Schizosaccharomyces pombe: one gene and its partners. The protein of the gene in region 1 interacts with the protein of each later gene in a biochemical or structural test. Each region holds a gene or a part of one and is shown on either strand. Other genes may lie near its edges.

What was found.
Region 2: the proteins of txl1 (region 1) and rpn11 form a complex in vitro, tested with the Schizosaccharomyces pombe proteins (one study listed by BioGRID).
Region 3: the proteins of txl1 (region 1) and mts4 form a complex in vitro, tested with the Schizosaccharomyces pombe proteins (one study listed by BioGRID).

The regions. Positions count from the first base shown.
Region 1 is NC_003423.3:765,831-769,589, forward strand, and holds txl1 (thioredoxin-1-like protein Txl1), read right to left. Parts: upstream 1,661-3,759; 5' UTR 1,649-1,660; coding exon 1,425-1,648; intron 1,373-1,424; coding exon 724-1,372; 3' UTR 522-723; downstream 1-521. Other genes in the region: ubiquitin C-terminal hydrolase Ubp10, read left to right, coding at 1-423; DNA repair ERCC8 family protein ckn1, read left to right, coding at 1,952-1,988, 2,039-2,186, 2,250-2,357, 2,438-2,555, 2,604-2,682, 2,727-3,451. UniProt on the Schizosaccharomyces pombe protein: Has a role in cellular detoxification of alkyl hydroperoxide.
Region 2 is NC_003424.3:3,008,674-3,012,432, forward strand, and holds rpn11 (19S proteasome regulatory subunit, ubiquitin-specific protease subunit Rpn11), read left to right. Parts: upstream 1-1,972; 5' UTR 1,973-2,305; coding exon 2,306-3,232; 3' UTR 3,233-3,634; downstream 3,635-3,759. Other genes in the region: RNA polymerase III-inhibiting protein Maf1, read right to left, coding at 1-122, 487-585, 639-644; SPOM_SPAC31G5.21 (FAM32A family protein), read left to right, coding at 1,414-1,770. UniProt on the Schizosaccharomyces pombe protein: Acts as a regulatory subunit of the 26 proteasome which is involved in the ATP-dependent degradation of ubiquitinated proteins.
Region 3 is NC_003423.3:2,852,444-2,856,202, reverse strand, and holds the start of mts4 (19S proteasome regulatory subunit Rpn1/Mts4), read left to right. Parts: upstream 1-2,100; 5' UTR 2,101-2,150; coding exon 2,151-2,288; exon of another isoform or gene 2,289-2,335; coding exon 2,336-3,759. Other genes in the region: morphogenesis protein Mor2, read left to right, coding at 1-1,553. UniProt on the Schizosaccharomyces pombe protein: Acts as a regulatory subunit of the 26 proteasome which is involved in the ATP-dependent degradation of ubiquitinated proteins.

The DNA of each region.
Region 1 (3,759 bases):
CTTAACAAATATAATGGGGTACATACCCAAGAACTTGCAGGTATGCGACGGCGTTTTCATTTAATGACGGCTCCTCCATACTTTATATTTCACATCAAAAGATTTATGAAAAACAATTACTTTACGGAAAGAAACCAAACTATAGTGACATTTCCTTTGGATGATTTTGATATGAGCCCATTTATTGATGACTCATTTATCCAGTCAAATCCGAAAATCTCTACGAAATACAACCTCGTTGCTAATATTATACATGAGTCCGTGACACATGCTGAAGAAGAATTTCATAACTTCCGAATTCAAATTCGAAACCCCTCTACCAATAAATGGTATCAAATTCAAGACTTATATGTTGAAGAAATCAGTAGCGATATGATTCGTTTAGGCGAAAGTTTTATTCAGCTTTGGGAAAGGTCATCATAGTGTTAATATGTGGAATTTTTGGATTTCTCACAAAATTTCCTCTACGTGAGACAAAATTAAAAAACATTCATTTTATTTATCAAACGTTACCGCTTAGAAAATCTTTATTCTATATAAATTAGATTATCCATTTATATTCCCATTTCGTGAGTAGTCAGCAATTACAATGCTCAAATGAAAGGTTTGTAGTATTCTTTGGTATCAAGACACCAGATTGGTCGAGTAATGTATACGAAACTAGATTTTCATAAAGGTAAATTCGTAAACCGTCATGATTTTAGTTAACAAATTGTTAAGCACCTAAGCTTCGACCTTTTGTAGTTTTCCTTTACTTGAATCACCAACAGGCTCACCAAATAATTCTAAGCGAGAAATCTTAGTAGTTTCTTCTTCTCCGACATTCGAATAAATAAAAATAACGAGAGAATTGACACGTTGAAATTTAACAAAACGAAGGGGAATAATTGTAGGTTGATCGTCTTGTTCGTAAACTATATCCTCAATGACTTGAGTTGGAGTAAATGACTCAGCATCTTCAAAAGAAAGATTGTTGGGCTGATTGATGTACAATTTGATGGTTTTTGGAGCACTCGAAGTTTCTCCCTTAACAGGAGTAATTGCAATAGAATGAACCTTTACCACTTCAAGAAAAGGTATGTATATCATTAATTGCTCGTCAACATCCGACTCTAAAAATGAGGAAGGATTACTGTTAAATGCACTTTTCAAATCGTGATCATCTTGTTGATTTAGACATTCCAATTGGGGATTTTCAATGCAGCCTTGCAAGCTAGCAAAACCCTTGACAGGTGCCGATGACGAAGAAGCAAGAGCGCCAGTTCCTGTGGCTTTTGAGGAAATCAAAGCAACTTTTTCCTTCAAAGCTTGTGGGTTTGCTCCAGTTAGCATATCAATTTGTTTGCCATTTTCAAAGAAAACAAATGTAGGCCTAAAATGTTAGCAAAACCAATGGTACAGTGACGGATTAGGTAAACACATACATTGCTTTGACGCCAAGCCCGGAGGCAATTTGACGTTGCTCGTCTACATTTACTTTAGCAAAAACGAATTTGGGGCTAGCATATTTCGATGCTAATTGTGAAAATAAGGGAGAAATTGCTTTGCAAGGACCACACCAATCGGCATAGCAATCAACTGCAAGATATCCGGACTTAGGGATCGTTGAGATCCAGTGCTGGTACGATCTAATTTCAATAACTGACATATGGTTGAGGTTGAGTTCTATAAACCGTCTGCCAATACCATCTCGTACACCACGACCGTTATTAGTAGTGCGTCTAGCCAACGTCGAAAAACATATTTTTTTATTATTGTTTCCTGGAAACTACCTTTGAGTTTGCTATTTAAACATAGAAGTTGATTAATTGACAGTATTATTTACCGCTCATATTAAACTAGCTGTAATTTTATTTAGACTTAATTTGTTATACATGGTTTAAAAACCGGGTTGTTTTAAGCTGTCAGTTGCTTACTGTAGCATCTGAGTCTATTTCTTAGGTGAAATCGAATGAATTCTTTTTTATTGGCACGAGAATGGGGCCAAGGTAATGCAATTGATTATGTGATATAAGGATTTCAAGTCTCACATTTGTAGAGCCAAATAGCTCTTTTCGAAGGCAACTACTGCAGCATCGTCTTCAACGGTTAGCGCTGAATCCGGATGTGAAAATTAAACGTAGACACGGTGCGGGCATTTTAGGATCCGTAAATGCACTAAGCATTGATAATACAATTCATCAGCTGTATGACCTATATCGTTGATTTATCAAAGCTTTCAATTTTTGGTTAACAATTTCTATTGACAGCATGGTCTCTGGAGGAGCCAACTCGTCTATCAATGTTTGGGACCTACAAAATATTGACCAAAAGGAAGATGAAGATTTAATTTTGGATACCTTAAATGCAGTTCCTGCGTAAGCATTCATTTTCTACCTAGTTTATGACAATTTCAATATATACACTAGTGATCAATAGCTAACTTGCGGTGTTTTAGTCGAACGAGTCATAAGTTTGGAATAACAGATTTGCATTGGTTTCCGTTTGATAATGGTATTTTTACTAGCTCGTCGTTCGATCATACGCTCAAGGTTTGGGATGTTTCTACTTTACAGGTAATAAAAGTAGAAATCGCAAATTAACCAATGTTCTAATATTGGTAGGAAGCTTACACTTTTACTATGGAGGACATGATTTATTCACATGCATGGTCGCCCATTGCATCACATTGTTTAATTGCCAGTACGTTATATTCTTCATTCTTGAGATTGTTCATCTAACGATAGCCGCCTACCGGTCTTCGTCTATTCGGCTTTGTGATATGCAAAGTGGTAGTTATACTCATAGTTTGTCTGGACACACGGGTAATGTCCTTGCGGTGGATTGGTGTCCTAAGAATGAATTCGTGTTAGCGTCCGGCTCTGCAGATGGCACTTGCAGACTTTGGGACATTCGTAAAGTATCATCCAGCTTCGCATGTATGGATCTACATAATAAGTATTTACCCAGTAACCAGACAAATATATCTCATTACGGCACCGTTAATGGATTAGCTTGGACTTCAGATGCTCGATATTTGGCAAGTTGTGGTACCGACGATCGAATAAGAGTATGGAATATGGAAAGTGGAAGAAACACATTGAGAGAATTTGGACCTATTATTCATAACCAGACTACTTCCTTCGCGGTACATCCTTGCATGATCCAACCCTCTATGGATTCAGATGTTTTTGTGTTATTCCCCAACGATGATGGGTCTCTTGCCTTATTGAACTTGTTAGAAGGCTCGTTTGTGCGCCGACTTTCAACCCACAGTTTAAAACGTATTAATTGTGCTGCCTATCGTCCTGACTTTGAACAGTGTTTTACTGGTGATATGAATGGGAACATTTACATGTGGTCTCCTAAAGCTCTAAAATCGCCTACGAAGATTTCGGATTTAGAAACAAGACGAAACATAATTCAAGAAGTATACGACTCTTTAATTAATATTCCAGTGACTTATCAATAATTGCTAAGCTTATGTTTCATTTTAACTAAACTTTGACCAACGGAGTTTAGACTTGAGCCATTCCATTGAATATTGCACAATTTTTAGGAAGATAAAGTTTTCTATATTTTATTTATTAGTTTAACTCTACATCATAGTTTGATCCCATAAAGTGACTTTGTCTGTACTTTTTCTTATCAAACATAGGTTGCTTCAGTTTATCATTAAAAGTTAATGTATCTAGAATAAATCTAGAATAGCAAATATAAAACTTTTGAAAGCTATTAATAAGCAACCTTCTCAAAATTACTACAAACTTTTCAAACACT
Region 2 (3,759 bases), on another chromosome or scaffold:
AATGGACTTTGCTGAGTTAGGCTGAAAGCATATTCCGGTGATTTACTACTCGATAATGCAAATAGATCCTCCTGACACCGATTCTCTATAGCTTTAAAGAGTTTCTTGTCAGAATTTGTACTCTATAAAATTGTTAGCACATTTTATATATCAGTATATTCATGTCTTGGTAAGTTAATAAAGCAGAATGCTCCCGAATCTAAAAACAGACACTCAGACGCGGTACTCCATTTGGTAAACAACAATCGTAATCATTTTGGTTTCAGATTTGAAACGTAAAGAAACTAAATAAATAATCACAAAAAAAAACAATGATTATATAATTAGCTGATCTTGTACAAGAGACCAAAAAGAACCAAAATTGTTCAACTTAGTGATTTGACCACGCAAGAAAAGAGGATCATTATTAAAAGCATATGTCAAATTCAAGAACCAATGTACAATTTTCCCTTTACCAGACTAACCAAGCTTACAAGTTAAATTTACCTTGGTTGTATAGAGCTCGCACTTTCCGCGTATGCGACAATCATCGGCATCAAATGATAAGGCATTATTGACTGTATCTAAATCGGCAAGCTCAAGAAACTGGTCACAAAAACAGGGTTTAGTAAGACAAATAAAAAGTAAAATATATTTACCTTCATAGTAATTGTAATGTAATCAATTCAATTGTTTCCTTTCATTAAAAAGAGGTTTGCTGTGGTTAGGTATCAGCGTCGCGTCCAACGTCAATGTCACTTCTATTAAGGGTACGTTAATCTTAAATAACAGACTATAAGCTAATAGTAAGCGTAAGGAGTTTGTTAGATGTCGGTTCAACATTTTACCGAAGCTTAATATATTTGAGAAACCATCCCGATGCATTGCCATTTATTTTTTTATGCTGTTTTAAGGTACTTAACCGTATAATGTGTTAAAGTCCAAGTCGAAATGCATTTATTTATTCATAAAAATAAATATTTTAAGTAATTAAAAGGAGTCTAATAAAAACAAATCAGTTTAAAAATATCGATTATAAGTTTTTCCGTATTTTTCTGATGAGCATTGAGTAACTCAATTTTTCAATATTCAATTTTTTCTACAATTCTTAAAAGAAACGGTTCAAGTATCATTATTAACCAAAAAAAAAGTAATAATAATTTATTTAATGAATAATCGTCGCTTCTAGAGTATACTTGTACAATGAAATTGTACATATATATACATATTTTTTTTAAATTGAGCCCATTAATAAACTTGCACAACATACATCAATTCTTTTATTGTATTACTTATTACACTTTTACTATTAAATTATATTTATTTTATTTTATTTTTAAATTCAATTCCTAGTGTAAAATGTATTAAACTGTTTCACCTCTTATCGTACAGTTCAAACATTTTGCTTACACCAACTTACCTTTACCAAGAACTATGGACTACGTTGGTGGTTCTCTAAAACTGAAAAATGTAAAAAAAAAACCTTTGAAAAAGAAAAAGAAGGATTCTAAAAAACTTGCTGAAAAAGTTCAAGAGCATTCTTCCCGAGATAAATCACCTTTAGAAGAAAATGGCGTATCTACGTACCAAATGCTTCGCTCAAAGGATACAGACTCGGCTATGCCGATGACGGAAGCACAGAAACATTTTGAGTCTGTTCAGGAACAAAGATTACTTCAGAAAGCAAAGAATGAGCGATTGAAAACACATAAAGACAGGATTGATGAGTATAATAGACTACTGGAAAGTCAGTCGGAGCATTTTGACATGCCTAAAATTGGACCCGGCTAGTTTTCAAAACACGTCCTTTTTTCTCTCAATAGCTATACTTAAATAGCAATGGATGCCTCCTCTATTCTGCATAGTTTTTCTCCATCCACCTACCATATTCTTTTATGAATTACGCACTCTAATGAAATCACTATTTTATTTTAACAATACGCATTATACCTCATTATTGTTATAGCTATTCATTTGTCTCTAGAAAAAACCTGTTTATAGCCAACTACCACGTAAACGTATACTAGCTGCCTAAGTGAGACCAAAGACATAGAATCTTGTATATTCGTTTTGTATAGTGGTTGAAACATATAGAAAGAACTTCCTTTGAAGAACAAGCACATTATAGTGACCTTTGATTGTTTTTGTCGTCTTACTAAATATCAGTGAACAGCATTAACGTTTTGGTAACTTTATTTAAATACTTATACTGAGTTTCTCATTTAATCTCCAATTACACTTTTATTTGCGGTTATTTGAGAGGAACCCCACTGATACTGATAAACTCTCATATTTCAATACATACATACGAGTCATATTTTTCGCGATGGAATCTTTACAAAGATTGTTACAAGGTGCCCGCATGGGTACTGGTATGATGGGAGATCAGCCTCTTGTTGATAATTCCGAGTGTGTATACATTTCATCTCTAGCTTTGTTAAAAATGCTTCGTCATGGGCGACATGGTACACCAATGGAAGTTATGGGTTTGATGTTAGGAGAATTCGTTGATGACTTTACAGTACGTGTTGTTGATGTTTTTGCAATGCCTCAATCTGGTACAGGTGTCAGTGTAGAAGCAGTCGATCCAGTTTTCCAAAAAAATATGATGGATATGCTTAAGCAAACAGGACGGCCAGAAATGGTTGTAGGTTGGTATCATTCTCACCCGGGTTTTGGTTGTTGGCTTTCTAGTGTCGATATCAACACCCAACAATCATTTGAGCAATTAACACCAAGAGCGGTGGCAGTTGTTGTCGACCCTATTCAATCTGTCAAAGGAAAGGTGGTAATTGACGCCTTTCGATTGATTAATCCGTCTACCCTAATGATGGGTCAGGAACCCAGACAAACAACTTCCAATTTGGGTCACATCAACAAACCTAGCATTCAAGCTTTAATTCACGGTTTAGGAAGACATTACTACTCCCTTCGCATCAATTACAAAAAAACTGAGCTTGAAGAGATCATGCTTTTGAATTTACACAAACAGCCTTGGGCACATGGTCTTTTACTTGAAAACTTTAATTCTGCTGCGGAAAAAAATCATGCTTCTATTGATAAGATGAAATCCTTGTCAGAACAGTACACTGAACGTGTTCAAAATGAAGTGACTTTAAGTCCGGAGCAACTTCGTATTCAATACGTTGGTAAACAAGATCCCAAGAAGCATCTTGACGCTGAGGTTCAGAAATGTATAGACAACAATATTTCTTCCATGTTAGCTTGTATGCTTGATTCCGTTGCCTTCTAGTACATCTATTTTGGTAATACCTCTTTTCCATCATCCGTTTTTTATGAGCTACTTTCTTTCCTTACTCAAAGCATTTATGAACTGTTTGAATAATCCTGTTGGTCGAATCTGATACTACTTTTTTACGATTTCATATTCGTGACTAGGAGTACATTTTTTTTAAAACTTTTTACATGATCGTGGAGTATGATTGATGATATTTTGGTAAGCTCTTGAGATTGCGAGCGTTTGCTTTGATGGATTCTTATATATTTTTTTTCATAGATCCTTAAGATATACCTGCACACCAGTCTTTCAAGCTTCTTCCCAATAAGAAAAAATTGTTTCAATTATTGAATTTGTAAACATCTTCTACCAACATGTTAAAAATTTTGTTTCCTTGATTGTTTGTAATGTACCTGTAAGGATCGTCGATCAGCGTCAAACCATTGAAGTTGAATACATAAAGGTATAACTGAGGCTACTTAATTTATTATATGACATTTTAGCGTGATATGATTTTTTGATGTAGCATGATATTGTACTTG
Region 3 (3,759 bases), 2.1 Mb from region 1:
CTTACTTTCTGAGAGTGGAGGAGACGGACTCTGCTACCCAACAAATTATGGAGACATTTCCCCAAAACTGGGTTGGAGATTACCAAGGTCTTCAGATTTTAATATTAAAAGGTTTCCGTTCAACTAATTCTTTTGAAATTACCATGAATTTTTTCCTTTTGCTGATGGATTTCAAGGATAATGATTTGGTTGGCGTTGGTTATTTGAGGATACTATCCTGCTTGTTGGTGTCATTACCAGCGATGGTATATACATACGAGCATTCAGATCCTATTACTTTTGATTTAAGTGTTTTCTGTCATAAATTAGCTACTCTTGCTTCACAATTTAACGATGATGCATTGATTGAGCTTCTTGACACATATCTCAAACGTAAATTCAGGTCAATTAAGGATTTTTTAAAACATACGGTTTCATACCTATACTCCTATTATTTTGAAGATTACGAGCTAGAAATTGTTAGTACTCTTACGATGTTTCTATCAAATAATTTGACTTGGTTTAGAAAGTCTACGTTAGATGTGTTAAAAGAACTCTTTCCATTAATTGATTTCCAAAAACCTATATATTCCGAACATGGATTAGGTATTGTTTCACCGCTTCTTCGACTCTTACCTACTGGTTATGCAATGGAAGCGTTGTCTTTGCTAACCGACTCAGTGCTTCATGTATCTGCTCCCACAGATATGCAAACCTTAAAGTTATTAATGGTTGACCCTAAATTAAAAAATTCAGATGATCGTCTGGCTGGATTTTTTGAAATACCTGACGAGGATGGATGGTATGAACCAAACTCTGAATATGCAGCTGCTATAACTAAAAGCAACGTACATGCCGTATTTTATAGCTGTTCCACTACCGAGGCTTCTGTGAGTACGCCAGAGGTTAGATTTCATGCTGATGAAGTATCCAATTATCCGCGACACGTTCCTACTGACAGTCATGGTTCGCTTGACGAAAATTCACTAGGAGAGCTAGTTACAACTCTTCATAGCCTCGATGTCTTCTTCGCTGAAGATAGGGATGAAGAGTTAATTCAGCCTGATGTCGCCGTTGATCCAAAATTAGATATTACATCGGAAGATTATGACGATCGGATAGCTACGATTCTTTCAGGTAGCCTTAGACGGCAGAAACAAGGTCTTATGGCTTATGAAACAGAATCCTTCAGAGATTATTCACCGAACGAAGAAATTGATGCATCAGCAAAATTGCCGATGGACATGCCGCCGGTGAGAGTAAGAAAGTCGTCTTTTATCTCTAAATTAAAACCTCATTACTTTATGGATGCTGAATCTTATTATCCTTCTTTAAAGGCACTTGGTAATTCGGCGGAACATCGTTTATCTTTGGACGAAATACGAGGTGCAGCAGAATTGAAACAAAATAAAAATTGGAATTCCATGTTAGATCAATCTGTTTCTATGATTAATGAAGATTCAGTGGAAGACCATGAAACTCATGAAAATTATTATCATTTACGTACAATGTTTCAAGGAAGTGAAAGCAATGAATCTTTTACTGATACAACTCGATCCCGCGGTTGGCATTGAATTTGCCTATACTGGTTTAGTATACTTATACAAGCTTTTATGGTGTTCATGTGTGTAAGATGGAAAATTAGTCGGCAACGTTTATGGATGTACTATATAAAACTATTCGTTTGTTTTCATTATTTTATCATTTGCATTTTTTTGTTAATTTAAACTCGAAAATTCTTTGACCATTACAGCCTTTAATTTTAGAATTCAAAATCTTAGAGCGTGTCATGTTATTAAAAATCAAGCTATAACTATGGTAATTAGGTGTAGTGATATAAATCGGTTTCATATGTCCGTATTTAAACAAATGAAAACATAAAGAGTCAATCAATAACGAGTTATTTTACAACAATTCTTATAAGAAAAGAGGCATGAGATAATAATGTCAAGCATCGTGTAATAATGGTAATACATTGACGAACTTAAATAATAGATTATTTTTTCATTTGTACTGATCCATAAAGAAAGCATAGCGTGTTGTTAAATCTAATTAACGTGATAAATAATCAAATACGTAAACAATCGGTATACTGGTTCTGACTAGGGTGAGAGTAGTTTCAACGACAACACATTACTACTCAGTTTCAGAAAATCTTAGGAATCTAGAAAATGAGTTCTAAAGACATTAGTTCGAAGTCCCCGAGTGGTAATGATGCATTAAATGACAAAAAAGGGACAAAGACTTCAGAAACTAATGACAGAAACTCAACGAACAATACCAAAGAAAGGGATGAATTAGAGGATTTAGTAAGTTAAAGCCCTATTATTTTTCAAAATGAAAACTAACCAAATAGTCTGAAGAAGATTTACAATTAAAAAATGATTTGGAATTATTAGTTCAAGCTGTTCAAGATGCCACCCCTGAGTTGGTGGGTTCCAGTCTCACTCAGCTTAAAGAAATAATTCGTACTTCTACCTCCTCTATGACGGCCGTTCCAAAGCCTTTGAAGTTTCTTAGACCACATTATTTTACTCTCGTTAAAATCTATGATTCCTGGCCGCAAAGCCCTCAGAAGACTCAACTTGCTGATATCCTTTCAGTATTAGGAATGTCCTATAGTAATACAAGCAAACATGAATCATTAAAATATCGTCTTCAGGGCGTTACCACTGATCCTTCTTTATGGGGTCATGAGTATGTTCGCCATTTGGCTTCCGAAATAGAAGAAGAGTTTGCCAGTCGCCAGGAAGAGGAAGCGCCAACCGACGATCTTATGGAACTTGCATTGACCATTGTTCCATTCTTCCTTACTCATAATGCTGAGGCTGATGCTATTGATTTATTACAAGAATTGGGTGCTATTGAAAAAGTTGTACCCTTCGTAGAACTTGATAATGCTTCTCGCGTTTGTCTTTATATTACCAGTTGCGTTAATCTTTTGCCATTTCCTGAAGATGTCGCCATGTTAAGAACAGCGCATGCTATTTATCGGAAGTTTGACCAGCTTACACAAGCACTTAACGTTGCTATCCGCCTTGATGATATGTCTTTGATAAAAGAAGACTGTGAAGCTGCTACGGATCCCTTGTTGAAAAAGCAAATGTCTTACATGCTTGCTCGTCAGCAAATACCTATGGATATGGGAGACGAGGAGTTAAACGATGCTTTAAATAACACTCATTTATCTGATCACTTTCATTATCTAGGAAAGGAGTTGAACCTTATGGATCCTAAAGTTCCGGAAGATATCTTTAAAACACATTTAGAAGTGGCTAGGACTGGATTGGGTGCATCAGGAGTGTATTCCGCCAAACAAAATTTAGCTAACACTTTTGTCAATGCCCTTGTCAATGCCGGATACAGTAACGACAGATTAATTTTGGTCGATGACGAAAAAACGTCTTGGATTTATAAAAATAAAGAATCTGGTTTAATAAGTGCTACAGCTTCTATTGGCCTATTACAATTATGGAATGTTGACATGGGATTGTCTTTGTTGGATAAGTATTTATACTCTTCTGAGGAGAATACCAAGGCTGGTGCATTGTTGGGAATTGGTGTTACAAATGTTGCAGTAAGAAATGAAGCTGATCCAGCTATGGCAATTCTTTCTGAATACCTTGAAACTGGCTCCGTAAAGCTTCGTGCATCAGCGATTTTAGGTTTAGGACTTGCATACAGTGGAGCTAATCGCGAAGATTTACTCGACATGTTATCTCCAATTGTTACGGATACCGATTGCCCTATGCAATTATCCTGCTTAGCCGCATTATCTTT